4 linked regions of the Alligator mississippiensis genome follow. The protein of the gene in region 2 binds, or shares a complex with, the protein of the main gene of each other region. Links are inferred from orthologs where the notes say so. Each region holds a gene or a part of one and is shown on either strand. Other genes may lie near its edges. The genes, in order: IQCG, DRC3, DRC1 and TCTE1.

Region 1 (7,088 bases), on a different chromosome or scaffold from region 2:
TAGTGATTGATTATAATAATGAATTACAATAACAGATGGTAGCAATAGGGATAGTAATAGTGATCATGATTGCGATAATAGATAACAATAATATTGGAAATAAGTCAAAATTGATTATAATAATTACAATAATGGATGGCAGCAATAAGGATAGTAACAGTGGTCATGATTACGATAATAGATCATTGATAATAATAATACTGGAAATAAGCTGGACTTTAGTATAATAATTACAATACTTGATGGTAGCAATATGGAAAGCAAGCGATCATGATTATAATAGATAATTGTTAATAATATATTGGAAATAAGTTGTAATTGATTGTAATAATTACAATAATGGATGCTAGCAAAAAGGATAGTAACAGTGATCACAATTATGATCATCACTAATAATAACAATATTGGAAATTAGAGCTGTGTGAAACAGAAGCGTTTCGTTTTGATCAGCGTTTCAACGTTTCGACAGAACAGTGTTTCATTTTGACTTTTGTTTCAAGTTGAAACGGCTGTTCCGTTTCATTCTGTCAAAACGTTTTGCCGTTTCAACCCTGTTTCGATGTTTCACCCATAGGATATAATGGGGAAGGTCGAAACAGACTATAACTTTGTCATTTCTGGCCAGATTTGGATGAAACTTGCAGAAATGGTAGCTGCTTCTGAGGGCATGATGCGTGCCAAGTTTCAAGGAGATAGGTGTAGGGGGTTTGGAGAAACTGCACGCCAAAATCTTGAGAGCAAAACGCACGCCACGTGTATGCGTTAAGACACAGTGGGGTCAAAGCTGCAGGGATGCTAGCCCCTGGTGAGGCAGCAAATCCTGCCATGTTTCAAGAAGATCAGTGCAGGGGTTCAGGGGGAACTGCACCCCAAATTCCTGAAAGCAAAACTCATGTCGTGTATGCGTTGAGCCACAGTGGAGTCAAAACTGCCGGATGGTAGCCCTTGGTGAGGCCACAAAGCCTGCCAAGTTTCAAGGTGATAGGTGCAGGGGTTTGGGGAGGGAACTGCACCTCAAGCTGCGGACAAGCAAAACTCGTGACACAGATGACCCTGTGTGTGTTAAGGTGCAGCGGGCTGAAAACTGCAGGGGTCGTGGCCCCTAGTGAGGCCACGAAGCCTGCCAGCTGTCAAGGAGATCGGTGCAGGGGGAGTCTGGCTTCTGGGGCCCTGCACCTCTGACTGCTGACAGGCAAAACTCATGACATGGGTGACCCTGTGTGTGTTAAGGCGCAGCGGGGTGAAAGCTGCAGGGATGATTCCCCATTATACCCTATGGCTGGATCTCCAAAACGGCTCTGAAGCTTTTCCGAACCGCTTCGGAAAGCCTAACGAAGTCAGCGCTCTGCAGCTTCAGCGTGAACTAAAAGATTCGTGTTCACAGAGGGGGTGGTTCAGGTGATCAGTCTGATCAATGAGCTAGATAAGGAGATAAATCTTATCTTCTTCCTGAAACTGGCTAATGGGCAACCATTACAAACATTCAAACTATTTCATTCAATATGACATCCCCAAGGGTGCCCTGGTGAACAGTTGTTCACCGAGCCCTAGATGTACTCCCCTTTGGGCAGAGCGCCCAAAAGGGACTGAAGGCAGGGGACTTAGTCCTATCAGTATTGAGGCCAGCCCATTGAATCGTACTACTGAGGCGAGCCCATTGAACCGTACGACTGAGGCCAACCCATTAAATTGTACTACTGAGGAATGAAACTGTATTTAGGTGTTTGGCTTCTCGGAATTCTAGGATTGTAAGTATATTTTGAAAATAACAGTATTGATTCAAATTTAACTTTTAGTTGTAATTGTAGTTGTTTTTGTAATACTAATTCTTACAGCATTGTTTGGGAAGGAAGTGCATTCGGAGCATTGTTTCTGATATATGTAATTATTGTGTTCTTAATGTTTGTGGTATTTCTAAGCTAAGCAGTGTTATATGCGTCGCAAAGAATTTTAAAATAAAATTGTGTTGTATGAATTAAGTGTGTAATCATTGTAAAATCGTGCCCCAGCCAGTGCATCAAAACGAATCAGTAAATTGTGTGGGATTTTCTCTATTCCATAACCCACTAGAGACAGGGGAAAACTAGGAGCAATGGTCACAAACTCCTGGGAGATCGATTCAGACTCGTTTCAGGCTCAACATTAGGAAAAACTACCTCACAACTAGGGTGTCCCGACTGCGACCATTACTCCTAGCACGGCACAAGGTTTCCCAGTCAGCAGCTGGGGTGCAGTTCCCCCGCACTGGTCTCCTCGACAGCCAGCAGGCGTCGTGTCCGCAGCAGGGGCCACCCTCCCTGCAGCTGTCGCCTGCCGCGGCTTAACACATACACACGACACAAGCTTGGCTCTCAAGAATTTGGGGTGCCGTTTCTCCGAACCCCCCGCACCGATCTTCTGGAAACGTGGCACGCATCACGCCCTCAGAAGGGACTACCACTTGTGCAAGTTTTATCCCAATCTGGCCAGAAACGACAAAGTTATAGGCTGTTTTGACCTTCCCCATTATCTCCTCTGGGCGAAACGGCATCGAAACGGCAACACGTTTCGTTTCCGTTTCGAGGCTGTTTCGACCATATCTGTTCCGTTTCGATTTTGCTGTTTCGACCTCGAAACAACGCCAGTGGTGAAACCAGTGGAAACGGATGGTACTAAGGACAAGACTGGAGGGCAGCAGCCAGGACCGTGGCGGTAATGGCGATGACGACAGCAACTGCCACTAACTGACAGCGTCCGACCAGATGCTAATCATGAATGGCAGCCGTTAGTGGTTGTCATGGACACCGGCATCACTGTCGCGCTGCGGACGACCGCGGCAGTGACACGGTTGCTGACGACAAGCCCCCCCCCGAGGACCCCCCCGCACAAGGAGGCGGCAATCACCACAGCGACACTCACGCGGCGGCGGCCGGCGGCAGCGGCCCGGTCTCCATGGCGACGCCGACGCTCCGGGGTCCTTCTCAGAGGCTGCCCCGGTGCCGCCTGCTCTGCGCGCGGCCCCGTCAGGCGCGACGCGGACGCCTCAGGGGCCCTGCGCGCGGCTATCCCGGCGTGCCGCGCGCCGCGGCCTCCTCTTTCGCCGCCATCTTGGAGCGGAGCGGCAGGGTGAGGGGAGCGCGGCGGCGCGGCGCGGGCCGCGGGCGCGGAGCGAGGGGTGCCGGGGGGCGGCGGGCGAGCCGGGCGGGCCGCGGGCTGCGGGGGGCCGGGGGCGGGGGCCGCGGGATGGCGCCGATGCGCGGCGGATGGTGCGGAGCCGGCTCCGCGGTGCTCACACCACGTCTCTGGTTGCAGGCCGCCGGGACCAGCGCCGCGCCGCCATGTCCGGGAGGTGAGAGCCCTGCCCGAGCCGCGCGGCCCGGAGCCACTCGCGGGGCCCAGGCGGCTGCACCGCGCCGGTTACCGGGGGGGGAACCAACGGGGTGTTCACTGAAATAAGATATTTTGGTTTAAAATTTAATCACTTTTTTATGGCTAAGATGCTTTCATTTGCTATAAAGATCGTTTTCGTTGAAGATCTGTAAAAGCTCCAAAATATCGTGGAATAGGAATTATTATTATTCATAATTATTGTGATATCTAATTATAAACTCCTAGAGATGATGCGGGCACGTCTAAACTCCCAGTGCAGCTCGGGTGACTTTAATCTGTAGACGAGCCTCGAGATTGGGCCTCAGATACAGTCCGCAGCCTGTCCTGACGCATTTCCTGAGCGTGTAAAGATGTCGCACGAGGACACGGGGTGTTTCTGAGTTTTAATAACTTTTGTCTGTAGAGGAGCCCCATAAAATTGGGCCCCGTTATAGTCCCCGGCCTGTCCTGACGTATTTATCAAACCTGTAAAAAGGTTACACGAGTGTTTCTAAAGTCCGGGTGCGATTTCAATAACTTTCAGCTCTGGGAGCTGCGTAAGAGCAACGTAGGATTCACGGATGCGCTTGTCTTTGTTGAGCTGCGTCCTGTTTCGTTCTGCCCGTTTTTCCAACCTGTCCAGATCCGCCTGGATCTGTTTCTTACCCTCTGGTGCGTTCATTTTGCTTCATAATTTGGCTATGAACTTGGACAGGGTGCTCTCCACGCCCTCGTCCCAGTCACCGATGAAGACGTGAACAGCACCGGTGCAAGGACCAAGCCTTGCAGGACCCCGCTGCCCACATCTTTCCAGGTCGATACCGACCCGTCCACCACCACTGTCTGGGTGCGACCCCATAAGCCAATCTGTCACCCACCTGACCGTGCAATTATCTACATCGCTGCCACTCAGTTTATTTACCAGAACAGAACGAGATACCGTATCAAAGGCCTTCCTAAAGTCTAGGTAGATGACATCTACCTCAGCTCCTGCGTCTATGCATTTTGTGACCTGGTCATAAAAAGAAACCAGGTTAATTGGGCAGTGAACCGGTGCTGGTTTCCTTTCAGCATTATTCCCCTGCTGGGCTCCCACAAATGTGGTCCTTAATGTTATTTTTTCCAGAGTTTTCCCAAGGATGGAGGTGAGACGAACTGGCCTAGTTTCCCTGTTCCTCCTTCCTCCCCTTCTTGAAAATAGGGACCACATTGCCCTTTTCCAGTCCTCTGGGACGTGACCGGAGCACCACAAGTGCTCGAACAGCCGTGCCAGCAGCTCTGCCATGACACAGGCCAATTCCCTCATCACCCTTGAGTGAAAATCATCTGGGCCCATTGATTTGAACACATCCAGCCCCTCTAAGTGCCCCTTCACTAAGTCTGCGCTAACAGTAGGTGGTCTGGCGTCCCTCCTGTGTCTGTCTATGATCCAGTGATTGGGCCCATAGTATAGGCCCCAGCCTGTTGTGATGCATTATAAAGCTTCTGCAAAAGTTACATGAATATACAGGTGTTTATAAAGTTCTTGTGCAACTTTAAACTTGAATAACTTTGTCTGTTATAGCAAACTGTAAATAGCAATTGAAACCATAATTAAGTTTTTAGCGTGGTGTAAGCATGTCGTTTTGGGTTGCTTCTGTCGTGCACATCCAAAGTTATTCATGTTTATAAAGTTACACAAGGACTTTATATAAACACCCTGTGTATTTGTGCAACCTTTTTAGAAGTTTTATAAATAGGTCACAACAAGCCGTGGCCTATATTAGGGGCCCAATCTTATGGGGTTCCAAGAGGTTTCTTTATCTATAGATTAGTAAAGATTAAAGAAAACCACTCTACTCAGTGCGACTCAGCGCTCAGTCCAGAAGATCCCATTAAACGTCTCTGTGATGCTTCATTTCAGTTCTCAGACTGTGAATTTGTCTCTCCAGAGTTCACAGGCAGACACGGTTCTTTGGGAAGATGCAATATCTTTTATTAGGAGTGTACCACTAATGGGAATATTTGGTCAATACCAAAGGCCATATCAGCTGATACCGCTCTGAGTGCTGATATGCAGCCTGGCAGCGTCCAGCTGGTAAGTCTGTTGGTGGAGGGGGTGTAATTCAAAGCCCCCATGGTGAGGGAGGGAATGGGACAGGCATTGCCCAGCCAGGGCAGGACACAGGACAGAGCTGTGGGTGGCCCAGCAGAGGATGGGTGGCTCCCTGCTGCTGGTGTGCACCCTCGGGGGAGGCAGGGTGGGCATGTGCTCCCTGGATTTGTGCACAGAGCAAGGGCGGGCTGCCTGCTTTGGGGCTGGGGCCTGTGTTGGCCTCTTGGTGGGAGTGCTGGGCCAGGGCTGCTCTTGAGGTGGGTAGTGGCAGTTCTGGGAGTGGGGGTCTATGGTGAATTTTTGGGGTGGCCATAGTCGTCGTGTCCCCCGTCCCCCCATGCCCAGGAAGAGGCTGGTACAGCCCCTGAGCCCACAACAGGCAGCTCGCCCTCACCCCGTGCACAAATCCAGTGGGGGCCTCATACCCCGCTTTCCTCCCCCAGGGTGTGTGCAGCAGTGGGGAGCTGCCCATCCTCCCATGCCCCCCTGTAGAGCCACCCACAGCTCTGTCCCATGCTTCAACCCAGCTGGGTATCACCTACCCCAGTCTCTCTCTCACTATGGGGGCCTCAATCTGCCCCCCACACAGACTTACCAGCAGGACATTGCTCTCCAAGCTGCGGGGCTGCATTCCTGGCTGTGTGCATGGTGCAGCTGTGCACATGCATGTGGAATTTATCAATGATGTTATTGGCTACACCAGCCAAAAAAAGCTGATTGCCAATAATGTCAATTTTCCTTTTATCGGTGCTGATCCAATACAGACAGATATATCCGCGCGCCACTACTGATTACTCACCCATCAGCCCTGTTGTCTCTCTGCTAGTTCGGGTATGCACAGTCAAGCCCTTACCTCTCCCTAAAAATGGAAAGTTTCAAGAAGTTAAATGAATAAAGGATATCAAACAACAACAGTGCACTTCTTGTAGAAATCAGTGATTAAACTGAGGCTTCCTGGCCAGTGATTTAAATCATTATTTAAATCCATTTGATTTAAATCAGATCTACCCTGTTAGTTACAGATTTAAATCTTGAACAAACTGTCTTGTGAAAATACTGGTGACATTTTAAATCTGTTGTCCAAAAGGATTTACCTTATAATATTACCCATGCTAAGAAAGCTTTATACAATATTTGTTCCGATACAATTAAGCACAGTTCTAGGACTCTTAGCTATTGGTTTCAAGTGTCCTGAATTATGCTGGAGTCCTGCACTGTCCACATGGAACAGGCTTGCATTTCCCCATAGAAACTGCAAAAAATCATTTCAGTACAGCACTTTTTTGTTACATCTCTTATTACAGAGTTGGTTACTGTAGCAAAGATCCAAAATCAATTAATCTGCATTATCATGTATGCAATGAAGTGATAGAATCTATTTTCTAGACATTTGAAATGTGTGTGTATAAAGAACTTTAAAAAAAAGCAAATTGCTTCTTAACGTTATCATCTTTTTAGTGATAATCATTGGAGGAAAAAAGGAGGTTTCTAATGGAGAGAAGTAGAGCTGTTTATAAATGTCTCCTGTTGTGGAAGCTTCCTTATTCACCCCTAATTGCGAATGCTAGTATATTTACTTCCTTGTGAATAAAGCACTATTTCTTGATCCCAGCATGCATGTAGTCCCTTCAGAAATAGCTTATTC
Region 2 (7,753 bases):
TGCCTTCAGTCGGCGCTCCACAAAGAAACAGCCACACAGCTCCAAGCGCGCAGAGGAAGAACGGAGAAGCACCGTGAGCAAATTGCTTAGGATGAAGCAGTTAAAAAAAGCCCACCTTGTGTGCCCTTTAATTATTTAGCGTGCTCAAAATATATGCCTTCAAAATCTGCAGAGTCAACGACGAGGGCAGCAGCATACTGGGAACCAGCTGTCCTCTGCTTGCAACCCGGCACATACAGATTTATATTTTGAACCCAATCGAATATATACTTAAGTGCACTGTGCTGCCACAAGATAAAATTGCAGTACTCAAAAATACGGGGTCTAATACCTTCCTGAACTACAATCTGCTTTTGTGCCTATGAAATAAATCCAGTCTTAGGAACCTAGTATTAAATGGCATTATACTAATTATCCAACTTCACACATGCATGTGGTTTCCCCAAGTTAGCAGATTTATGACTCATATTTATTTGCTCCTTTCAAAGCCAGGATATCCCGTTTCATATGGCAGGGAGATTTTTCTTTCTAGCATAATCCATTCTCAGGAAGTGAAAGCCAGATCCAAATAATCTTATAAAACTCAAAGCACTTTATCAGACTGAGGCTTGCTCAACCGGCATGAACGCAGATGAACGCTGGAAGGCAAGGTATGGACCATCTACCTAGCGGGCGAGTCCATGTCAGTGTATTTCCCATACCTATAGAGAGAGCAGTTTCCCTGCCTAACTCTTTGTGGGCTAGTCGGTAACTTCTCATTTTGCTGCACGAAATTACCCCACCTGTATTTGAAATGCTGACAGTAAGAATAATTATTCCAGCCTTGCAATTCAGATCAACCCACCCTCCAAAGAGTACAAGGCACTTCAGTGGTTCTGTGTAAGAACCAGCCTTCCTGCTGGAAAATTTTTGGTTACAACCAAACGTGTGGAAGATTCTTCTAGCAGAACAGCCCATTCGAGCTGAAAGAGCTTGAGGCAAGTTTGCAGTCCTCATTTGCTTAGTGGTTCCCCGGCGACGGTTTAAACACTCAGTGTTGTCCTGGGGAAAGTCAGTCCTCTAAAAAGTATGTTTTTCTTGGGTTTGCACCAGTTAACTTGGAAAGAAATTTAGAGACTTTTGGACAGTGGAACATGAGGTTTAGTCTCTTTAGGTCCTTAAAATGCATGTCTGCCATAATATTGCCTCCTCTCCTTGCATTTACAGTTATTAGTGCATTTACTCATCAAACATACATTAGAAGCTATCTACAGGAAGCCCTGAAGAGCTGTCCATGCAGAAAAGGAAACCAAAAGATATTAAGGGTCAGAGAGCTGGCACTAATTTTTCATTTTACGAAAAAAAGCCCTAGCAAGATTCTCTCTGCATCACATTTAGCATCGATTGAACTGCCTTGAAATGGAAACTACAAGTGCCTGGATAAAATCAATGGGAAGGTTGTCTGGTTTCACCATCACTTCAATAAAGTGTCCCTGTATCCTCTGCTGAAACGCTGCTTTTGTGGCTTCCTTAAGAATACACCTTTGCAAATCACAGCAGTTTTCATCCAACCTGGCTCCGACGCCAGGGTCCAGTCCTGCAATCCGTACTCACAGGTCGCCAAAGCCATGTGATTTTGGCCCGGACACCGGCCTTAAAGGCACCCAACCTTTGGAGAGACAGCTACTAAAGAAACAAAAGCCAGCTGATTTCTGTCAATGCCCGATTAATTTTGGAGACTTGGATCCGGAACTCCCCTCCCTCCTAAAAGATGTTAGCATTAGGGAGAAAGTTGTAGGTTATATCACGCCACTTAGTTCTTATCCTGGACTTGGCAGCCTGAGGCCTTTGGGTCACAGCCAAGCTTCCTCAGACTGCGATGATTTAAGCAGAGCATGCATTTTCCCAGAAGAGGAATATGCACATTCACTGTTTGTTCTACCTCCAAGGGACCCATTTTACAGATCACTGCCTGGCATCAATCCTTTGCACTGTAAGGATTTATAAACTCAATGTAGCAGGGCCTGATTTGGATGGAAACCTTCCCCTGCAGCAGCCGCACAAGAGAACTAGGAACTCAAAGCAGCTATCCAGTTTCCCAGGTGCAAGTTCAATGACGTGCAAACAACCCCGAGTCTGAGCTAACAGGTCGGCGGTACTTCAGCCCGCTGTGATCCAATGGGTCTGAATAAGCTCCAGCGCTCTCTGTAACACGTGGGAAGGATGTTTGTTTTAGTAACCTTTGAGCTGCCGCACTTTAAAGATGGCTTCCTCGAGCAAGCAACCATAAAAATGTGATTTACAGAGATGACTGTGGACCCTCAGGCAGACTCTTGCTGCTGGAAACTGCCGTGTCCTCACCAGGCCAGACTCTTCCAGACACTAGGGGAACAAAGGACTCGTCTCTCTGTGCATTTTCCCAGGCTCTTCCTATTCTCTGCTCAGTGCTACTCTGCCCCCAATTTCCACTGGGAACCCATCACAGAAGCCTAGTTCCCCATGCAGGATCTCGCGTGAGCCTGAAGAGATGCATCAGTGCTAAAGCATTTTGCAGCCTCAACAGCGGGGACCCTCCACCCACTGGGTCCATGCTCTTCAGAACAGCCTGGGCAAACAGACAAGCCGGGGTTTGTTCTCTGAAGGTCAATGCCGTTAGGCTCTTGAAGGTCATGAGTAGATGCCCATGCAGAGTCTGGGGCCCGTTGCCAAATGCCTTGCCACCAACCCTGGGCAAAAGGGGTGATAAGCTCCCCTGTTGTAGCTGCGCTCAGCTGCACGGCACAACACAGGGCAAGGCAGGGGCAGCGAGAGCCACGGGGGTGAAGCCCTTTGGAGCTTCAGCTCCAAGGGTCTGGGCTGCATCGAGCAATGAACCAGACGCCAGCGTGATCGAGGAGCACACGGTACCGTGTCGCTGGGCAAAAGCACAATGAAGTGTGTCCGCAGCCACGTTCTGCGCCAGGTTTCAGGGTAAATCTTCAAGTCAGTCCTGTGCTGGGATTCAACCAGCAAGGTCCTGGGGCAGCACAATCCGGTGGACACGCATCTACAAGGGACGGCTACCACCTGGTTGTCATTTGACAGCCTGGAGGGGACGCTGGCAACCCCTGTTCACCATTACGTTCACTGAGCAGCACCTTGTGCCATGTGACCCTAGGCACACGCGCCTCAGTTTCCCCACCTGTGACATGGTGATAGTGCTCCCTGCTCGCTAACGAGACCTACAGCTGTGAATCGGTCCAGGAGGAACAGGGCAGCATTTGTTCACATAAAAGTCACACACTTCTGTGCCCATGCGAGCTTCTCCATCGTGCCCTGGCCACGTGTCTTTGCCCAGCCCTGCAGGGACGATGTTTAGGGAGAAGGTATCTCAGTCCCGGGTCCGGCAGCCCACGCCCTCTCCTACAGTCCACTGCCACCGAGGTTTTCAATCAGTGACAGACGCGGCGATTTCTGTGACGCGGCGCCTGAAAATGATCGCTGGCCATATCAACCCCGCGCTGACAGCCAAGTGGGAACGACTTCCACACACCACACGCCCGGCTGGCACGTGACCCGGCACTCCCGCGTCCGGAGGCGCGCTTCACCGCCGTCACTGACGCTCTGGGCCTGGGCCGGCGCTAGCCCTCCGCAATACCCACGCGGCCCGGCGGAAAGGCCCCCGCCCGCCCGCCTGCTTCCGCGCGGCGCGGCCCGGCTCGGAGCAAAAGAGAAGAGGCGCAGCGCGGGCGCGGGCTCCCCTCTCCCGTCCATGAAACCGCACCGACGTTTGCCTGCCGGCGCGCTGCACCCCGCGTCCACTGCTCACCGCAACCACGGCTGCTTCGCGGCACACGCCACAGACACAGACTGATACACGCACGGATGCGCACACACACGCACAGACAACAAGGTCAGATGCACACACACGCACAGGCACGCCTACACACCTGCACGTGTGCAGACACAGGCACAGATGCAGGTGTGCACAGAAACACATGCACATACGCACACAGACACACACAGCCACAGATGCAAGTGTGCACAGACAGAGACACGGACACGCACACAGTGGCACACTCGTGTGCACAGGCCCGCACACATGCACGCGCGCACACAGGTCGACGCGCTGGCTCGCGCCCCTCCCCCCCGCTCTACCCCGACCCACGGCGCCCCCACACGCAGCGCGGCCCGAGGGCCCGATGCGGCCGGGCGCGGGGACAGCGCGGCGCGGCGCGGCCCCTGCCCCCCGGCGCGGCGCGGCGCGCTCACCCAGGCTCTGCCCCACCGGGGTGCTGAACGGGTTCCCCAGCAGAAACTCCATCTTGGGATGACAACAAACAGCCGGCCCGACCCGGCCCGCAACCCCGACCCCGCCCCTCGCCGAGCGGCATCCGCGCCGCCCAATCCGAGCCGCCGGCACCGCCCGTGGCCCCGCCCATGCCGCAGGCTCGCCCCGCTGGGTTGGCTGAAGAGCGTGCCAATCAGAGAGCCCCGCCCCTCTCCCTGCGCGACTCCTTCGTTTTCGACTGACGCAAAGGGGAGGCGGGAGCTCCTGCCGCCCCTCGCCAATGGACAGCACCTCTCCCATTCCCCCGATTCTATTGGGTGGCAGCCACACCAATCACTTTAAAATCCGCCCACCAGGCGCGCTGCCCACTCTGATTGGTCGACTTGGTTTCCTCGCGGTCTGATTGGCGGCGGAGCTTCACACCCCTTTTCCCTCCCTCCTGTCTTCCCCACCGAGGCCAGCCGCGATTGGCGGGCGCGGACCGGCACGTGACGAGGGAGCCTGGAGGCCCCGCCCTCAGCCCGGCGTCACGTGACTTGGCTTAGCAACCGTGCAGGCTTCCTTAGCAGCGAGCCCCAGTGAGGGGAGGGGGACAGGGTACTGGGGGGTAGGGCAGGGTATTGGGGGCAGGGTACTGGGAGGAGGGCAAGGTATTGGGGGGCAGGGTATTAGGGGCAGGGTACTGGGAGGAGGACAAGGTATTGGGGGGCAGGGTATTGGGGGGGCAGGGCAGGGTACTGGGGGGAGGGCAGGGTCTTGGGGGCAGGGTACTGGGGGCAGGGCAGGGTACTGGGGGGGCAGTGGGGGCTGGGCGGGCTGGGCAGACCTATGGATCGACTGATTTATTTGCAGCTTTCTCCAAAACGCTGCACTCCAGCGAGAGACGAGCTCCTTGTTTCTCCTCGTGACGTGTAATCAAAGAACAATGTTCATGTAATTTGTCCTTCTGGCTAGAAACCGAGGCCCCGCGGGAGCAGCTGTCGCGCAGCGTGAGAGCAGCACGGAGCGTCCGACCGCAGAACGGTCCCAGGGAAGCCGTGACATGAAAGCGAGACATGAAGACCCCGTGTGATGTCAGCCTTTAGTCCTTGTGCGCGGAGCACGAATACACCCGGGGGCGTAGGGCAGGTGCCCTGGGGCTGGAGAGGAGCCGGATTGTTTTTTCTTCGTTAACCTGGCGTTCAGAGAGCAGAATAGCTGATGCCACAGGGGAACACCGAGACAACAACGCAACAGGGAACTAAAGCATCAGCCTAAAGGGGAGACCCTCCCCCCACAAACAGCATCTCAGCTCGCCAAGCGCTTGCCCAAACAGGAAGATCTTGCGGTGCTTCCAGCGGGCGGGCCTGAAGAGGGAAGGAGCTCCCGAGCTGATCTCAATAGGTCTGATTTTGCTGCCGTTGATTTCAGGGGTGCAGGATCAATCCAATCTGCATTTCACCCATGTTCAGAGCATTTTATTGCCTCCAGAAATTTAAGAAGCTGCTTAAGTGTCACTGGTTCCCTTGAGAGCGGCTGCGTGGTCGGGGTGGGCAGGCGAGTGGTTGTGTGACAGGCTACGTGGAAAAGCCAGTGCACTGCTGCGTTACAGGTGGAGAAGGTGGCTGGTGGTGGGTGGGAGGCAGGGAGGAGAGGCCTGTGGGGTCGTGGCTGGGGGTTGAGGAGGGTTGTTTGGCTGCTTGGAGGGCCGTGGGGAGCTGTAACGCTCTGCCTTTGGTGTCATCTGGTTCAAGTTAAGCTTGACACGGGTTCTGCACGTGGTATCTTGCCTGTGCACTTCACCCTGCGCTGGCCCTGACTTGCACTTGTTAACATCATATCTTTTGGTAAAGGCAACTCTCTCTTTGACTTCAGCAGTGCAGGATCAGACCCTGTGGGTCCTCCACTCTGCTACTGTTTCTTTGCACGTCACATGCAGTTCAGTAAACACTGAAGACAGTAGCTGGGTAATGAGTATTGTTTGCTCTTCTCTCAAAGGCCTGAAAATGAACCGGATATACGATACCATTGAGCCAAATGTGATCGATCAAGAGATGCTTCAAAAGGCTGTTGAGGAGCAAGGTCCTCAAGAAGAAGCAGGGCAGCTTGCCAAAAGGGAAGGCATTGATTTTAAGGATGTCACAGAACTACAGCTTGATTTTAGGAGTAAGTATCAGATTTTTTCTAGGACAAGTTAATAGTACAATGCTTTAATTGTCAATGATATGATCATGGTAAAGCTCAGACTGGTTGCACTGACTCTAACTTACATTTTTAGCCCTAGCCATCTAAAAGATTTCAAACAGAGAGAGTTAAAAGGCTTTGCTGCCTGGTAAGAGGCTGCAGATCCTGGCAGCTCTTCATGTCATTGTTAATTATTACTTTTTTGTTTGACAGTTATGGAGCAGTGGCACCTTGTGGCCACGTGCAAGTTTGGCCCCACTGCACTAAAACCCAGTCTGATCCAAAAGTGTGATGGCAACAAATTTTCATTTTCAGATGAGTCCTGACTCCCTATTTCTGTCCAGTTCTGAGTGGGCAAGTATCTACCTTAAAAGAAGATGCCAGCAGTACAGCAGGTCAATTTGCCAACTTTGTTGAAAGGCCCGACTAGATCACTAAGCTCGTTATTGGGCAGAGGAAGCTGAACTACCCTCTTGCCCATGCTTGTGACCTCCCAGTTCAGTCTGCAGTATATTGGTAGGGGTGACATGGAAGCAGTTTGTCCTGCTGTTATGGATATCGGATGTGAGTCTTTGGAGCTGTCAGATCAGCCTTTCAATCCCATTAGGATCCTGTTTTCTTTTAGGAAAGCAGGTGCAAATCTGCATCTTTAATTTGCTCCTTCTATTGTAGTGATTGTGTGCTAGTGAGATAACTGTGTGAGCAGATAACGAGTCTGCTCATTGGCACTCACAGAACTGACTTATGCATGCATTTGTTTGGAAGTGATGCGCAACTGTACGCACATTTTGCCCATGCAATTGCAAGCTTAGCATGCAAAACTCATGCCCTGTTTGTCTGTGACGAGTGCCTATGGCTGTGGGGTTTTCTTCTTCTATGTTTCCACTCCTGTCTTCTAAGCTGATGCCCACTGGACAGTTGAACCCAAGAGTCTCCTATGCCACATGGTGCCAACATTGTGTTATAATCCTTTCAGCCTGTGCCTGGGTCTGTAGGTTTTTTTTCAAAAAAAGGCAAATGCAGTGACAGCTGACGGCACTCCAAACAGGAGATTATAAACTGCAGAAAACCTGAGTTCTAATTCCTATAGTGGTCCCAGGCCTATTCTCCATCTACAGCTGCATAAACTGAACAGTGGGAAAGGATTTATAGAATATGGAGTAACTTTGTAACGTAATGGGCAGCAATTCAAAGCCAGCTAGTCCCCTGCAACAACCTGCAATTTCAGAAGAAAGTGCTGCCTCCTCCCAGCCACACTCTTAGTTGGAAAGCAAAGTGAAGGTCAAAGGCCCTCCTGGTAGTGAATTCCTGTAAACCCCCTCTTGACTGGAGTCCTGCAGT
Region 3 (7,798 bases), on a different chromosome or scaffold from region 2:
CAGTGTAGCACTGCCGAGCCTATAGACATGCTGCAGGTTTTTCCTCCCAAGGTGGAGAACCTTGCATTTTTCAGTGTTAAACACCATCAGGTTCTCGTCCACTCATTTACTGAGCCTGTCAAGGTCAGCCTGGATTACCCCCGTCCTCAGGTGTGCATGCTTTACCCCAAAGTTTGGTATCATTGGCGAACTTGGCCAGTCCGCTTCTGACTCCAATGTCCACATCATTAATGAAGAGGTTGAACAAAATAGGTCCAAGGACAGAGCCTTGAGGGACCCCACCGGTCACAGGGTACCATGACGATTGACTTCCATCAACCACCACCCTCTGGGTCTGACCATAGAGTCAATTCCCTAGCCAGCGGATCATGGTAGACCCGAGGCTGCAGTTGGCCAGTTTTGCCAAAAGGTGATCATGGGATACCAGATCAAAGGCTTTTTTAAAGTCGAGATATATGACATCAATCTCGTCCCCCTTGTCCAGGTGATAGGTCACCTGGTCATAAAAGGAAATGATACTGGTCAAGCACGACCTACCCGCAACAAACCCGTGCTGGCTGTCCCTCAGGGTGTTGCCATCGGCCAGTCCATTAAAAATGGCCTCCTTGATGATTTTTTCTAAGACCTTCCCCAGGATAGAGGTCAGGCTGATGGGCCTTGTAGTTTGCCGGATCCATTTTCCTCACTTTTTTGAAGATAGGCACTACACTGGCTTCCTTCCAATCATCGGGCACTTCACCAGCGCGCCAGAAGCTCTTGAAGATCTGTGCCAGAGGCTGAGCTATGATGCTAGCCAGCTCCTTGAGTACTCTGGGGTGTAAATTGTCAGGGCCGGCTGACCTGAAGGTATCCAGCCTCTCAAGCTGTTCCTTCACAAGGTCAGCATTGATGGTCATTCCACTAATCAGAATAACCTATTCTATGGCAATTTTGCTATCTACTAAGGCTTCCTATTTCACAGCTCCTGCAGCTTTTCCCCCCATGCCCCACACTAGGGATGCTCATTTTAATTTTCACCAGCCGGCCAGGACCAGCCTCCAAAATCTGGGACTGTCCCAGGCAAACCGGGGTCATTCTACTTTTAGGTCAATTAAGGGCATTTTTCCAATGCCTGGGAGTCTCCAACATAGTTCCCACTGATCAGAGACCGGGTTGCCTTGCTCTGAGATGTCCGTGTCAGGGAATGCCAAAGCCAACACCTGTCATACCTACACAAACTCTCACCTCTGCCGCTTCAGCTCAGCCTCCTCAGTCCTCCTCTGTGTCTCCCTGGCATCGGCAGCCACCTGGATGTTCGTTACTAGCTGCATGCCATCAAGGAGCAGCTTTGCCAGCCTCTGCAAGGACAGGAAAGGGACGTAACAACCATGAGGCCAAATGGACTGAATTACATGCTTTGGAAGGCTCCATGGCCAGCACTTCCACATCTGCCTGCCCTACAGGCTGGTTCCTATGCTTATATTGAGGTGCTTAAATAAAAGTATGAATCTGGGATGTCACCTGGCAGGGATTCACACACCCAACCATAGTTTATCATCATGGCATCACACTGGTTTATTTTCAGGAAAAGACTGAACACACCCAAACCACATGCAGCTCTTGCAGTACAGCTCCACTCTCAGCTCTCTCTTGCAGGCTCTAGCTTCACCATTCCTTTGCTGTGAGGTCAGGACACAGCGTGGTCTGATCTGTACTTGAAAGCTCAAGATATTGCATGTTGGCTCCCTGTTTGCACAGCTGGAAACAGGAGGAAGTCAAGGAAGTTCAGGAAGTCAAGTAGGTTAGAAAATATCAGATGTTTTAGAACAGAAGTCAGCAATCTATAGCCTTCAGGGAAGATCCAGACTGCAAAGAGGCTTGGTCTGGCCCACGGATATCTTCTGTAGCACAGAAGCTTGTTACAATGAAATTCCCTATAAAGTATTTCAAGAATCAGTCTCTGGTGGTCATAGCAAGTACCTGTGTGCAACCGTGCTCCTTCAGAACATATCCACTGGCTGACCCTGAGCTGTCAGGCTATGTTAACAGGACTGCAAAGCCACATGTACATGGAGCAATGGTCCTTAATGGACTTGTCAACCCCATTTCCCTGGCCGCAAAGCCTACTCCTAACCTGTCTGCTCTCTTCAATCTGCTTATGGCTCCTGCTCTGCTCCTCTTCTTCAGCCTTCTTTGCATCTGGGTCTTCTCCCAGGGCCTCCCTGGTGGGGGGTAGAGACATAAGCTTTAATAACACATCATCTCCTTGTCCCTGCCAGATCTCTTATTGAGTCACCTTGCCTCCTGTAAGCCCATGAATCCACAAGATTGAAACATCTCAGTATGTGGGTGGGAGACCAACCCAAAGGGGGTCTTGGGGGGGGGGGGGTTACAGAATACACTCGTGTCTGGTTGGAGTCTCCAACCAAGGCAGCCCGCGTGGATTGTTCTGCGGACGGCTCCCCAGCTTGTCCGCAGCGACACCTGCTCCTTCGACCCCATGCAGGAAAGAAGGTTGGTCTTGTGCAGGCCGGTCTGCTGGGACACCCGCGCTGCCTGTTTTCAGGACTGCTGATCTGAAAGACTGTCAGCACTCTCACAACACTCCCACCCCTGGGCCAAGGCCCGCCCAGCCTGGACCACTGCCATCCAGCATGGACTGGGGCCCCTTTGCCTTCTGGCACTGGGTCTTGGGGGCCCAAGGCAGTAGAGGGGGGGAGGGGGCAGCGCAGTCGGGGAGCCCTGGCATCAGCCCCCCGCCCATGGCACTGGCGGGTGCTGCGGCGGGAGGGGCCAGGTCTCGGCGGGGGGGGCGGGGCTCGTTCCCCGGATGGTGCCCCCCGCCCGCACCGGCGCTTGGCCTCCTGCCGGGCCGCGATGCGGAGGCGCCGTGCCGCGACCCGCTCCTCGGCATCCCCGGCACCCACGGACGGGGCGCGCCTCGACGGCTTCGCGACCTGCTGCGGCTCAGCCTCGGCCGATGCCTCGGCCCGGCTCATGGCCGCCGCCCTGCGCGCCCGTTGCCAGGCAACCGCGGCGCTGCGCAACGGCGCACGCGCAGGACCCGGCGCGCGGGGTAGTGGGTGTCCGAACAGCCCCGCCCCCGCCCCGCGCCTCCTGCTGGGTTGCCGCGGCCTCTTCCTCCCGCCTCCCGAGGACACCTCGGGAACCCGGCTCTGAGATCTGTGGATCCAGCCTCCGCGTGCCCCGACCTCCTGCCCTTGCCCCTGCTGTGGCCACCATGCCCCTGCCCCGCTCCCCACAGCTGCCTGGGACATGTAGCCCCGCACCCCGCTGTGATTCTTGCTGCCTCTCCACGTGGAGCATGACGCCTTTTTCATTCGCCCCTCGTGTCACTTCTGTGCACGCGCCCTTGCTGGGGATCTTCGGGCCACGAGGGCAGAGAGACCCTGTAGGTGTGTCGATGCTGTTTCACCCAAGTAGGAAACTAGACTCAGACATGCTCTAGGCCCTGCTCAGGCCATATTCTCCTTCCGTCCTCCCCTCTCTTCCCTTTTCTCTCCCCACACATTGCCTGGGGTCCCAGGGGCCTCCGCACTGTTCTTATGCCATCAGGGCCTTCCCTAGGGGGGGCAAATCTTGGTGACCGCCCTGGGCGATATGGAGCCAAGCTGGCTTTGCATCCGGCCCCCCTCCCACCACTACCGCCTCCAGGCCCTGCACCCACAGTTGTCTCTGCATGCCATCCATCTCCCTTTCATCCAACAGACCCTGCTCCTGAAAGCCCCTTGTCCTGTTCTCTCTGTTGTCCGCTGTCTCCTCCTCCAGCCCCTGGCCCTTTGCTGGTGACACAAAAGGGAGCAGCGGCTGTGGAGCTGGGAAAAATGCATAAACCCAGATTCTGCGTCATCTGCACCCAGTGCCAGGGCAGGGTGCAGGGGATGCAAAGGGAGCACCCGCCTCAGTGCAGAGCCCGGGGGACAGGGGATTCACCCATGCAGCACTGAGTTGGCACCTAGCTCCCAGCCGTGCTCCCTGCAGCTGGCATTCATCAGGGAAGGGGTTTTCAACCTTTTTTAGTCTAAGTACCCACGGTGGCCGGATGCCAAGTAGGGGGACAGGAGGGGGGCAGCGCACGGCCGAACACCAGAGGGTAGAGGGGGAGTACGCAGCTGGACACGGAGCATGGAGGTGGGGACACTGTGTAGGCGGGCAGGGACAGAGTACCACCACCACCCCCCAGGAGCAGGGCCAGGGCAGGGCGGGGAAGCTCATTAGGCTGGGGTGAGGGCGGTGGTGCCCCTCTGCAGTGTGGGGAAGCTCACCAGGCTGGTGTGTAGCAGTGGTGGCCAACACATGCGAGCTTCCCCACCCCACAGAGGGACATCACTGTCCTCACTCCTGGGAGGCGGCGGTGCTCCGTCCCCAGCCACCCATGCATACCCCCTAGGACCGGTCTAAGTACCCCCAGGGGTACGCATACCCCCAGTTGACAATCCCTGGGTTAGAGCACGCAACTGAGGAAATGGGTGACCAGATCTGTTAGAAAATATGAAAAGCCATATAATTACCTGCAGTAAATAAAAGGAGACCAAGACAGGTGAGGAGGGTTTTGTAAAAGGATAATATATATTCTGGTGTGTTTCTCAGAGTTTACAAAAAGAGCTTGTAGAGAAGCAACACTTAATTGCAATATAATGATATTTTACACTTTTCCTTTCAATTCTATGGACACTCAGTTTAGTTCTGGACAGACAGTTCCACAATTGCATCTGTGTGTAAATGGGCCTATTTATTAATGATAATCATTCTCCAGTGTCATATTCCATGAATGTCATCTTCCCTTTGTCTTCCTTGATGACTATAGAGGAAAAATATCTAGAAGGAGACAGAAATATCTATCTTTTTTCAGAAGACAGCCCACTTCCCATGGCTTTGGCTAGGGCCTCCTTCACTTCCTTATTCCTTAGGCTGTATATGACAGGATTCAGCATGGGAGTGACCACAGCATAGAATAATGAAAACATCTTGTCTTGATTGGGTGACACACTGGCCCGGGGCCTCATGTAGGCAAAGATGGCTGTCCCATAGCACAGCATCACAACAGTGATGTGGGAGGTACAAGTGGAGAAGGTCTTGTACCTGCCCTCTGAGGAGCAAATACGCAGGATGGATGAAATGATGTAGATGTAGGACAGGATGATGAAGGAGCAGGGGATGATGAGGATCAGGACACTGGCCATCATGAGAATGATCTCGTTAACATAGGTGTTAGAGCAGGCTATCTTGATGAGTGCCACAGCTTCACAGGCAAAGTGGTTGATGATATTGAAGCCACAGAAGGGCAGCCGCATGGTAAAGGTGGTTTGCACCAAGGAGTTGAGAAAGCCACTGGCCCATGAAGCCACTGCCAGCTGGATACAAACCCTCCTGCTCATGGTGACAGTGTAATGGAGGGGGTTGCAAATGGCCACATAGCGATCATATGCCATAACAGCCAGGAGGATAAACTCAATGCTCCCTAGTGACAGGGAGACATAGAGTTGGGCTGTGCACCTGCTGAAAGAGATGGCTTTGTGCTGGGCCAGGAAGTGGACCAGCATCTGGGGGACCACACTGGATGTGTAGCAGATATCCAAGAAGGACAGGTTTCCAAGGAAGAAGTACATGGGAGTATCAAGACATGGGTCTATCCGGATGGTAACAATGATAACAATGTTTCCCACAAGAGTGATGACATACATACCTAAAAGGAGTGCAAAAAGCCAGAGCTGAGTGCCCCGATGGCTGGAGAGGCCCAGGATGATAAACTCAGTCACAGAAGTTTGGTTTTCTGACTCCATCTTATTGGTATGGTTTAACCTGTGAGTGCAGGGATATGGTCAATGATGTCATGGTTTTGAATAAACTGTCATAAGCTACTGAACTAGGACCATGAGAACAGACCCAAACCCTGTCAATGTCAGACTCTCATGTGGGAGCAGACTTTTCTTTGTCCAGTAAAAAATGATGATTCAATGACATTGAAACAAGTTACAAATTCATGTTCGCTTCTCAGAATTAAAAAAAATATTTACTATTGTATTTTTAAATTCAAAACATTGTTTTTATTTTCAAATTTCATTCAGCTTTACCTGAAAAAAAATAATGAAGAATGCACTTGAAACTAAAATATAGTTTTTCAGGGGATCAATGAAACATCTCACTTAATCTGTATATAATTTATTCCAGTGTTATGATTCAGCAATATATAATATTTTAACGTAATACATTTTTTTACTAGTGTGTGGAATTGTATTCACATACCTCTATTATTGATTTAATCTAAAAAATGATATACAGAAGTCAATAAGACTCAGAAAATGATCATTGAGGGTGTGTCTACACGAGATGCTTAACTGTGCAGTAGCATAATTTACTGTGAAGTAAGCAAGCATGTGCATGTTTACTATGTAGTAAACCTCCCTAATACGGAGTAAATTTGCTACCTGCAAATGCAAGTCACAAATTTACTCAAGATTAGTAACAGCATAGTAGCATTCATGTAGACACCTGACTGGGAGCAAATGTACTCCCAGCCAGCTGTCCACCAGGGGGTGGCAGATTGCTCCCTGACCCCAGATGCTGCCTACTGCTGGGGCAGGCTCTGCCATAGGAGCCTGGGAGGGGACTATGCTATGCCCTCATTACCTGGCAGCAGGGTGCTCCAAGCCCTCCTGCTCCAAGGTGGTGATCAGGAAGCAGGGGCCTAGAAGAACTTTATCTCCCAGTGCCAACTACGCAACCATGGGGCTGGTGTTGGGAGATCTCCAATGCAGAGCTGGTGCTGGGAGCTCCCTGCTGGTGGGGGCTGGGAAGGCTGTTTGCTGCCCTGCTCCACGCTCACGGAGCTAGGCATGGAACAAGCCCCCCAGCCTGGTCCCCAGCTCCATACTCACACAGCTGGGCAGTGAACAAACTCCCCAGCCTCTGCCCAGTGTGCAGAGCAGGAGCTGGGAACTGTCCTGGTCAGGGGCAGGTCCCAGCCCCATGCCCCAACTGGGTGCACAGGGCTTGGAATTTGTTGCAGGGATGGGTTAGGTCCCAGCCCCCTGCCCCCATCTTGGGGCAGCTAGTAGCAAGCTAGCTGCTAGCTGCCCCACTGGTGGATCAAGGCAGGGGGCTGGGACCTAACCCTCCCCTGCAGCTCTTTCCAAGTCCCCTGCCCCTGATCAGGGAGCCAGGGCCAGGAGCTGCCTGCTGGTGAGGCAGGGGGATATTGTTCCTACTCCAGAAGTCTGCAGCCCCCTCCAGGGGCAGGGTGTAATGGAGGGTGTAACATCCCAATCCAGGCCAAGGCTGGGTGCTCCCTCGCAGTCCTGGGTGCTCCCTCTCCTGGCTGGGTGCTCCCTTGCAGTCCTTGCACCAGCACCCAGGGAGAGCTGAGAGCTCTCCTGGTGACGGCAATGGCTTATTGCAGGGCTGCATCAAATTTGGTCCTAAAAGCAGCAAACCTGCTGCCTAGTCCTGCCCCAGAGCATTTCATGTGAAGACATTTACTCCTGACTAAACTGAGCCCAGATCAAATGCATGTGTAAATGTGCCCTGAGTGAAATTTAAGGTTGTATGTTAGATATTATTGGGCATGTCTACATATGGTCATTTAATGCAGATTAGGCCAATTTAAGCTGCATTAGGGGTGCATGTCTACATGTGTGTGCCTTTAATGCTATGTGAGCCTAAATTTGATACCTGCCCAAACCAAGTATCAAATTTAAGCAGGATTAGTTAATGCAGATTAACACATTTGTAGACATGTTACTCCACATTAACACAGGGAATTTAGTCTTGGTCTGCACAGCCACTCAGGGGCGGGTCG
Region 4 (7,350 bases), on a different chromosome or scaffold from region 2:
ATGCACACTGCATTGCAGGGCCAGAGCAGAGGTTTGTGGCTTGCTAAAGCAGCCTGAACTATTAGTACTGCATCACTATTAGGCACAAGCAACTGTGCGCTCAAGCCTCATTTGGGTAAACTAGATATGTTCCCTTCTCAGAGTTTCACAGCACTGTCTCCCCTTTACCCTTCTGTTCTGTGTTCTGCCCTTATCAAAACCACTTCCTTGCAACAAGCAATTATTTGGTGCACACAAACACACTTAGAGTAATGCTAAGAAATTAAAGATGGAGAAGCCTAATCTACTACTCCCCTCTTCCTAGCTCGTCTCAAGAGCTGTGCTGCAATTGTTTCCTTATAATCATGGCCCCACCACCTGAACAAGACACTGGATCCATGTTATCGTAGATCCAGAGGTATTAGTTGGAAATAAGATTTCATATCAGTTAAGTTCAACTGATTGTATTCTACCCCCAAATGCCAATATGCCCAGAGATTTGCACTGACAATGAATCATAGAGGCTGGAGGGGTAGGGAACAGGGAGGAGTTAGCAGTCAGATGGAGAACTGCTTTCCTTTTTAACCTATGAAGAGGATAAGACTGAGGGTCTTGGTGCTGGGAAAGGGATGAATCACTTTTTCTCTCTACCCCATTCATAGTGAACCAGGCTTTTGCTCTGCATTAATAAGGCTGGATTTGGGGTCAGTGTCCACCACTGCCACTCACAGTATTGAGAACATGCATTAATGAGATGTTTCTGCAAGAACAACCAGTATCTAAATAATCAATACTGGCATGTAATTTGCTGTTGTTATTTTTCAGAGTTAACACATACCTGAGCTAAATGAGCCAGTGCATCCCTTGCTCAAAGACACTGTTTTATGTGCTGTGCAAATGTAGGGAGACACCACTACGTTGTTTACATTAGTGTCACAATCTGTAGGATTTTGGCAATCAGAGGGGCTAGAAGCCAATTGTTTAAATGGAAGCATGGACATTACAGCACAACTATGCAGCCAGGTCAAAAAGAGCATAGAGCTGCATAATTTCATGATACGTGGAGCTCTGCCTACAGTGTATTACCTGTGTAGTTTGACACGCCCCAAGAGACTACTCAAGTATTTGGGAAGCATCGTGGAAGAAACATTTTCCCCAATACACATTTTAAGTGCCCCTTTCCCCAATTTCATCTCATTACAGTTTGAGATATTTCTCAATCCCTCAAATAATCCCCTTCTCCTATTAGGTTTTATATCCTCCAGATACTTTGATTTTTGTTCAAAGAATCAAAATCCTCCAAATGGCAGTAGACAGACACTTGGCTTGCTGCTATGGCAAAGCTATATCTGTCTCAGGGCTTTTCCATCTTTCCTATCTGGTGACCCTGTGCTGTGGTAGAAAGTAGCTTGGGGAGTCCCCTGCCACCCATCTGTAGAAAAAAGAGAGGGTGGAGAAACTATGTTTTATTTCCCTCTCTTGCTCCTTCTGCAAAAGTCAGTCCTCCCTGGTTCCAAATCAGAGAAAGTAGATTGTGTTACTATGCACTGGCTCCTTTTTACAGACTGTTACTTATGCTGCCTTTTTGCTTAAAGGGGAAGCTGTCAAAGAGATTGAGCCCCAAATGTGACCTGTATCTTCCAACTACTCTGCTCTGGTGGGCAATGTCTTGTGGCATCTACTGATCCCTCTTGCTATGACATCTATCCCCATGACTGGTAATGAATGATCATTGAATGGATGAATCAATGAATGATCAGTATCACACAAGAACAGGCTTTAGGCATGGTGATTTTGTGAGGATTACTTAGTTAATAAGCCCTGTTCCACAGCCCTTACTTACACTAGCACCATTGACTTCAGTTAGCACTGGTGTGAATCAGGAACAACTCCACTGAGCTCAGTGTCAACGAAAGTACTTACCAGACTTCTCTGCTGCCTTTATCCTTGTCACCCAAGTACCTCCTAGCCCAGAAAATGTGTTCCAGAATCTGTAGGCTTCAGACCAATTTCTGTAAAGTACTTTAAGGGTGTCAAAATAAGGCACACTCCTGCTGAACAGGAGCTTGCCTCTGAAACAGTCCCATTAGTTTCACTGGAACTGTGTGTAGTGTAAGGGATTATTCACTGTGTGTAAGCATAGCCATATATAAAGCCTGAGTAAATTGCTATTGCAGTATTGCCAGCCCAAGCATTCAAAACCCAAAAGTCAGGCCTTTAAAAAAAATCATGAGATTAGCTAAAAATCATGCAATTTGAGATTCTTTTTAAGGTCTTTTTTTTAACCTTCTGGTTTCCTGGGCTGTTAAGGTCACATTTGCCATCTAACCTCCACAACCATGATGGACAACCCCCTTTTTTTCAACGATGAAAGTAGCTGGCACTATCAGAAAACACCAACTATCTTGGGATTTACAACATAATCAGGGGAGTTGGCAACATGATTATGCTTCCTCCTGCAGATAACCTATCTACTAGCCTGGTATATGTATTGCTCTGCTCTGTCCACACCAGCATTGAAAAAGAACATCAGTTTGAAAAAGCCACATTTCCATCTGAAATTTCAGGGTCTACAGGGACAAGAACAGAGGTGAAAGTAACATTTTCCTGGTTGTTTTCTTTGAATATGATAACACACAACATGCTATGGAAATTTCAGTGGTGTTGAGGGTTCAGCCTTTTCCCAATGTTCTGCAAGCAGGTTTTTATCACTAACAGCAGAACCAAAATTGAGCAGGGAACAGAGAAGGATGAAAAAGGAAACCCAAGGATGCTTGGCAGTGCTCTTGGACCTGCTCCAAAGTCTCCTCTAAACATTAGCAGCAGAGCGGGGAGAAGCAAAAAAAAACCCCTCAATATGATTATTAAGTTGTTGTTTTCCTCATGTCATTTAAAAGCAACTTGCAGAAAGTGTGAGGTTTTTAGAAAGAACCAGTTTCAGGAAATTCACACCACCCCAGCTCAGCAGGCTGGGGGATATAAAACCAGTCTGCTTCTGCAGACCATCACAACCAACTTCACACCCTCATGCTCCAAACCAGCAGTATCCAATGTGGTGGCCACTGGCACCATGGATAATACTTCCAAAAACAAAAAAAAAAACTAAGTAAAGGGAAGTTGCATTTTGAAGTTCTGGATCTAATGCAATTTTAAGTAATGGATGAGATGATCGGATTGATCTAAATTTTAAACTTTAATATTCATATTGGCGCGCACTGCTTTTTCTTTTAGATTTGAATGTGCCCTCGGGCACAAATGTTGGGAACCCCTGCTCCAAACCATCCACCATCTCACCCTCACATCCCCACCAAGTGGCGGGACACCTTTGGCAAGGGCTCCCCGTAGACCAGCCTACATTCCACCCTAATCCCACAAACCACTGCGGATCTGCACGAGCATGTATCTGGCAGGCTTTCCTGACTTCAACACCTGCCTCTTCTGTGCATAAAGTGAGACAGGGGCAAAGGCCTACTTCAAATACTGCAAGCTGAAGCCCTTCCACTGCTCCCCAGGAACCTGCCTGCTGCTCAGCTCCCTGCCCTGTGCTTCCTTCCTGATTTCTTGCTCTGCTTTCTTCTTTCTTGTGCTCCCTGCCCAATGTTGCTGCTTTCTGCTTCTTGCTCCTACCCTTCCTGTCTGACCTGCTGCTCTGCTTTCTGTCCTACCTGCTGCTCTGTCTTCTCCCCACCCCATGCTCCCTGCCTAACTGGTTGCTCTGCTTTCTGCTTCTTTCCCCACCCGCCCTTCCCTGAATCTGCTGCTCTGCTTTCTGCTCCCCGCCCAACCTCTTGCTCTGTTTATTGCATCTTTCCCTGCACTCCCTACTTGATCTGCTGCTCTGCTTCCTGCTCCTTGCCCTGTGCTCCCGGCCTGATCTGTTACTCTGCTTTCTGCTCCTTTTCTGATTTCTTGCTCTGCTTTCTGCTTCTTGCCCCCGCACCTCCTGGCTAGGGTGGCCGTCACAGAGGACATTCCCGTTTTCTGTACTCTGTCCTGTATTGTTATGAAACCAGATGGCTTTATGTCCTCTATTTTTCTCTTCAAGAGAAAAATTCCTGTGCTGCTGCTGGCCAATCCCACTACCCATCAGACCGAGGAGCTCCCCGTCAAGAGGAGCTCTCTCTCTTCAAGAGAAAAAGAGAGGACATGAAGGCGTCCGGTTTCGTACCAACAGAGAACACCTGGACTGTCCTTTACAATGGCCACCCTGTTCCTCCCTGCTCTGCTCCTTGCCCTCTGCTTCCTGCCTGAATGGTTGCTCCGCTTTCTGCTTCTTCCCCCTCCCCTCCAGACCTACTGCTCTGCTTTCTGCTCCCTGCCTGGTCTCTCGCTAAGCCGTGGCGGCGCTGGTGCTGATGCAAAGTCCAGGCCCGCCAGAGCTGCCCCGCGCGAAGGGGCGGTCCCGCCCCGCCCCGCCCCGCCCCAGCAACCCGCTGTTGCCTGGCAACCGCGGCCGGGCCGGGCAGGCGGCGCCGGGTGAGCGGGGCGGCTCCGGAGTGACTCCGGAATGGGGAGGGGGGGAGCGGGGCTGCCGCGTGCTTTCCTGGCTGTGATCTCCCAGTCCCAAAGCACCCGGCCGGCCGGCTGTGGTCCTGGCCCTGGCGCGCTTCCCACGGCCCGAAGTGCCTGGCGGGAGAGGCTCAGGGTGCGGCGGAGGGGTGCTTCCGTCTGTGCCCCCCTCACAGACACCTGCCTGAAGCGGGCTCTGGAGCCAGCCTCCCCCTGCGGACCGAAGGGGTGAGCCGGCAGCACCCACAGCCAAACACAGCTCTGGGCTGTGGAGCGGCCCCAGGGCTTTCTAGGGCAGGGATTTGCAGCTCTGATTTGCTGCCTGGGACCTAGAGCCAGGGACGCAGCAGGCCCTAGAGGTCCAGGCAGCCAGTCTGGGTGGATCCGGGGAGCTCGCGGCTCAAAGCCCTCCTGCTCCCCCACTTCCCCTCACCCGCTTTACAGAAATGTCTTCCCTTCTCTCCTCTCCTCCAGAGGCCCCTCTGCTCTGCACTGGTTATTTTCTCATCGGGAAACATGCGGGTTTGGGCTAGTAAAAGCTTCTGGATGGGGACTCTTGTTGCGCGCCTTGCCAGCTGGTTGGCAAATAACTTCACCTGAGTCGCCTGGTTAAGCAAGAAAGACCTGGTGCTCTCCTCCCAGCTTCCAGCAAGTATTTAACTAGCAGAGGCTGTGCTATCGTGAGGTCTCTATTACCATGATGTCATTGCTTTTTCAGATGATGCTATGGTCAATATACTAACATGCTGCATCACGTTACCTCAAATTCATTACTCTTAAACAGTGGTCCTCAGAAGTTGTGACAGAAGCTCATTCTATGATGCTTTAGGCTCGATTTTGTCAAGTTATGTTTGCTTGCTTTTTCGTTTGCTTTGTGTAGTAAGGCATTGGCCTCCTGTGATGACCAGCAGGTAGCAGGGTAGAGTTGCAGGGTAGTTTCACCTTAAAGACTAACTAAAGTAGTGATATATAGAGATCACAAGTCTATCTAGATAGATCTATCCATTTATCTACTTTGGTTAGTCTATAAGGTGAAAATCTACCTGGCCTTTTACCTGGCTTCAGGCTATTAACACAGATAATGACATCCGTGCTACTGACCAGCGCCACTTGGTGAGTTACTGTTGTATCCAAGTAGACAGAATGCTTTTAGATTGGAAGATCAGTTCTGCCTTGTTTACTTGTCAAAATTTAAGTCCAGGGCCTTACTTTGTTTTGTTTTGGGGTTGTTTTTTATTTTTTTATTTTATTAGGTTGAGTACACTGCTAACTTCCAAAACAGTATTTGTGTCTGCTTCAGGTGCTGGTAGTGTTAATGGGGGTTTTGCGTGAGAAACACAAAGTATGTGGGTTTGAGATTAAATCAAGAGCCTTTCGCCTTTAAGTATCCTGACACTCTCAGTCTGGAAAGGAACACCAGAAAGCAATTAGTGAGGAGATGAAGGAAGCATGTTCTGGCTGTTCAAGCACAGCCTTGGGATTTAGATCTATGGTCTGTTCACAGCATCATGATAGATTTCCTGTGTGTCCCTTCCCTCTCTGGACCTCACTTTTCCTGACTGGAAGACAAAGATATTTTGCTTACCTTACAATGAGTTATTTCTTGGAAAGTGCATTGAGATCTTTAGATGGAAGAAGCTAGAGAAGGATGAAATATTGTTTAATTTAGTAATTACTGAACAGTGACCTAACTCCCCATGCTTCTAGATATCAGAGAGGAGAAAGCTACTCCTAATTCAGGACTTTGGTGAGGCTTGGAAGTAGCTTTTTCCTTATTTCTCTCTATGTTGCTGTATAGGCCTATGTTGAATGTCTCTTTCCCACAGTTGCTGGCCCATTAGGTGGCCTTAGCCCAGATACGGATGCAGAATCTATTGAACTGTAACCATGCAGTGCTGATTGGCAAGTGTTGGTTGGTGGTCATTCCTTAGCTACTTTTGTGTTTATGAAATAATATTACAGCAGTGACCCCTACTAGCAGTGTCCAATATGATGACAGTGAATCACAGCACCTTAAGTGAAAGAAGTTCCAGGAGGTCATATTGTCCCTGGCACAGTTTAAATTGTACTGTTGACAGCAACAAACACATTCATGAACAGTTGGCATACCTAGTTTGACCCAGTTTTTTGGACCTAACATCTGTTTTTCCAATCTGGCTGTAGTTAGCACAGTTTCCTTGACCGGTGTGTATTTTTTTTCTTTACCCAAGAACCACTCTTGTAGGCTTTTCTTTTTAAGACTCTACAACAGACTTCCTAATGCAACTGTAACATCAATAAAAATGGGTGTCAGAATTGATAAGAATCCAATTGGTAAGAATTGATAAGAGTTCTTACCTGTGATAAGAATGCTTGACAGCGATCAGGACCTTTAGCCATTGTATCTAACCAAGCTGAGGGCAGACACAAATATAGTGTGTTAGTAATGAGACCTGCAGTTCAGCCAGTGTTTCCACCCATCTAGAGGAATGCTAGAAGAACTTCCTAAAATTCTGGGTAGACAGAGCCCAGATGGGGATACAAACTGTTAGGCTAAAAATTAGTTTTGAAACACTATTTTTCAAATATACTTTAAATATGCAAGCTCTACTGTAGACAGGGACTTTTGCTTACTTCTGTTTCTTGGACTAAATTATCGCCATCAGGGGTCCAATTCAAAGCCCACAGACTTCAGTAGGATTCTTTCCATTGACCTAGATGGGTTTTGGATAAAAAACAGAAGCAGGTGAACTATATGTTTGAGCATACCTTATTTACTCTGGACCTGAAGAACTAGAACAGCGGTTCCCAAAGTGTAGCCCATGAATCTCACTACTCCAAAGCCCCCTTTTAGGTATGAGTTTGATGATATGGGAGAACGGT

What was found.
Region 1: DRC3 (region 2) and IQCG share a complex: the UniProt entries of both Homo sapiens proteins name them as parts of the nexin-dynein regulatory complex. The link is inferred for Alligator mississippiensis from reciprocal best matches to the Homo sapiens genes DRC3 and DRC9.
Region 3: DRC3 (region 2) and DRC1 share a complex: the UniProt entries of both Homo sapiens proteins name them as parts of the nexin-dynein regulatory complex. The link is inferred for Alligator mississippiensis from reciprocal best matches to the Homo sapiens genes DRC3 and DRC1.
Region 4: DRC3 (region 2) and TCTE1 share a complex: the UniProt entries of both Homo sapiens proteins name them as parts of the nexin-dynein regulatory complex. The link is inferred for Alligator mississippiensis from reciprocal best matches to the Homo sapiens genes DRC3 and DRC5.

The regions. Positions count from the first base shown.
Region 1 is NC_081830.1:85,493,549-85,500,636, reverse strand, and holds the start of IQCG (dynein regulatory complex protein 9), read right to left. Parts: upstream 3,001-7,088; 5' UTR 2,934-3,000; coding exon 2,899-2,933; intron 1-2,898. Other genes in the region: RPL35A (large ribosomal subunit protein eL33), read left to right, coding at 3,318-3,328. UniProt on the Homo sapiens protein: Component of the nexin-dynein regulatory complex (N-DRC), a key regulator of ciliary/flagellar motility which maintains the alignment and integrity of the distal axoneme and regulates microtubule sliding in motile axonemes.
Region 2 is NC_081836.1:54,857,320-54,865,072, forward strand, and holds the start of DRC3 (dynein regulatory complex subunit 3), read left to right. Parts: upstream 1-4,743; 5' UTR 4,744-4,827; exon of another isoform or gene 4,828-4,846; intron 4,847-5,203; 5' UTR 5,204-5,632; intron 5,633-6,226; 5' UTR 6,227-6,234; coding exon 6,235-6,394; intron 6,395-7,753. Other genes in the region: TOM1L2 (TOM1-like protein 2), read right to left, coding at 4,231-4,282. UniProt on the Homo sapiens protein: Component of the nexin-dynein regulatory complex (N-DRC) a key regulator of ciliary/flagellar motility which maintains the alignment and integrity of the distal axoneme and regulates microtubule sliding in motile axonemes.
Region 3 is NC_081828.1:76,329,369-76,337,166, reverse strand, and holds the start of DRC1 (dynein regulatory complex protein 1), read right to left. Parts: upstream 3,013-7,798; 5' UTR 2,979-3,012; coding exon 2,830-2,978; intron 2,202-2,829; coding exon 2,114-2,201; intron 1,338-2,113; coding exon 1,225-1,337; intron 1-1,224. Other genes in the region: olfactory receptor 2F1, read right to left, coding at 4,839-5,783. UniProt on the Homo sapiens protein: Component of the nexin-dynein regulatory complex (N-DRC) a key regulator of ciliary/flagellar motility which maintains the alignment and integrity of the distal axoneme and regulates microtubule sliding in motile axonemes.
Region 4 is NC_081824.1:169,864,305-169,871,654, reverse strand, and holds the start of TCTE1 (dynein regulatory complex subunit 5), read left to right. Parts: upstream 1-4,339; 5' UTR 4,340-4,455; intron 4,456-4,507; exon of another isoform or gene 4,508-4,716; intron 4,717-4,840; exon of another isoform or gene 4,841-5,601; intron 5,602-6,073; exon of another isoform or gene 6,074-6,126; intron 6,127-6,825; exon of another isoform or gene 6,826-6,881; intron 6,882-7,101; exon of another isoform or gene 7,102-7,183; intron 7,184-7,350. UniProt on the Homo sapiens protein: Component of the nexin-dynein regulatory complex (N-DRC) a key regulator of ciliary/flagellar motility which maintains the alignment and integrity of the distal axoneme and regulates microtubule sliding in motile axonemes.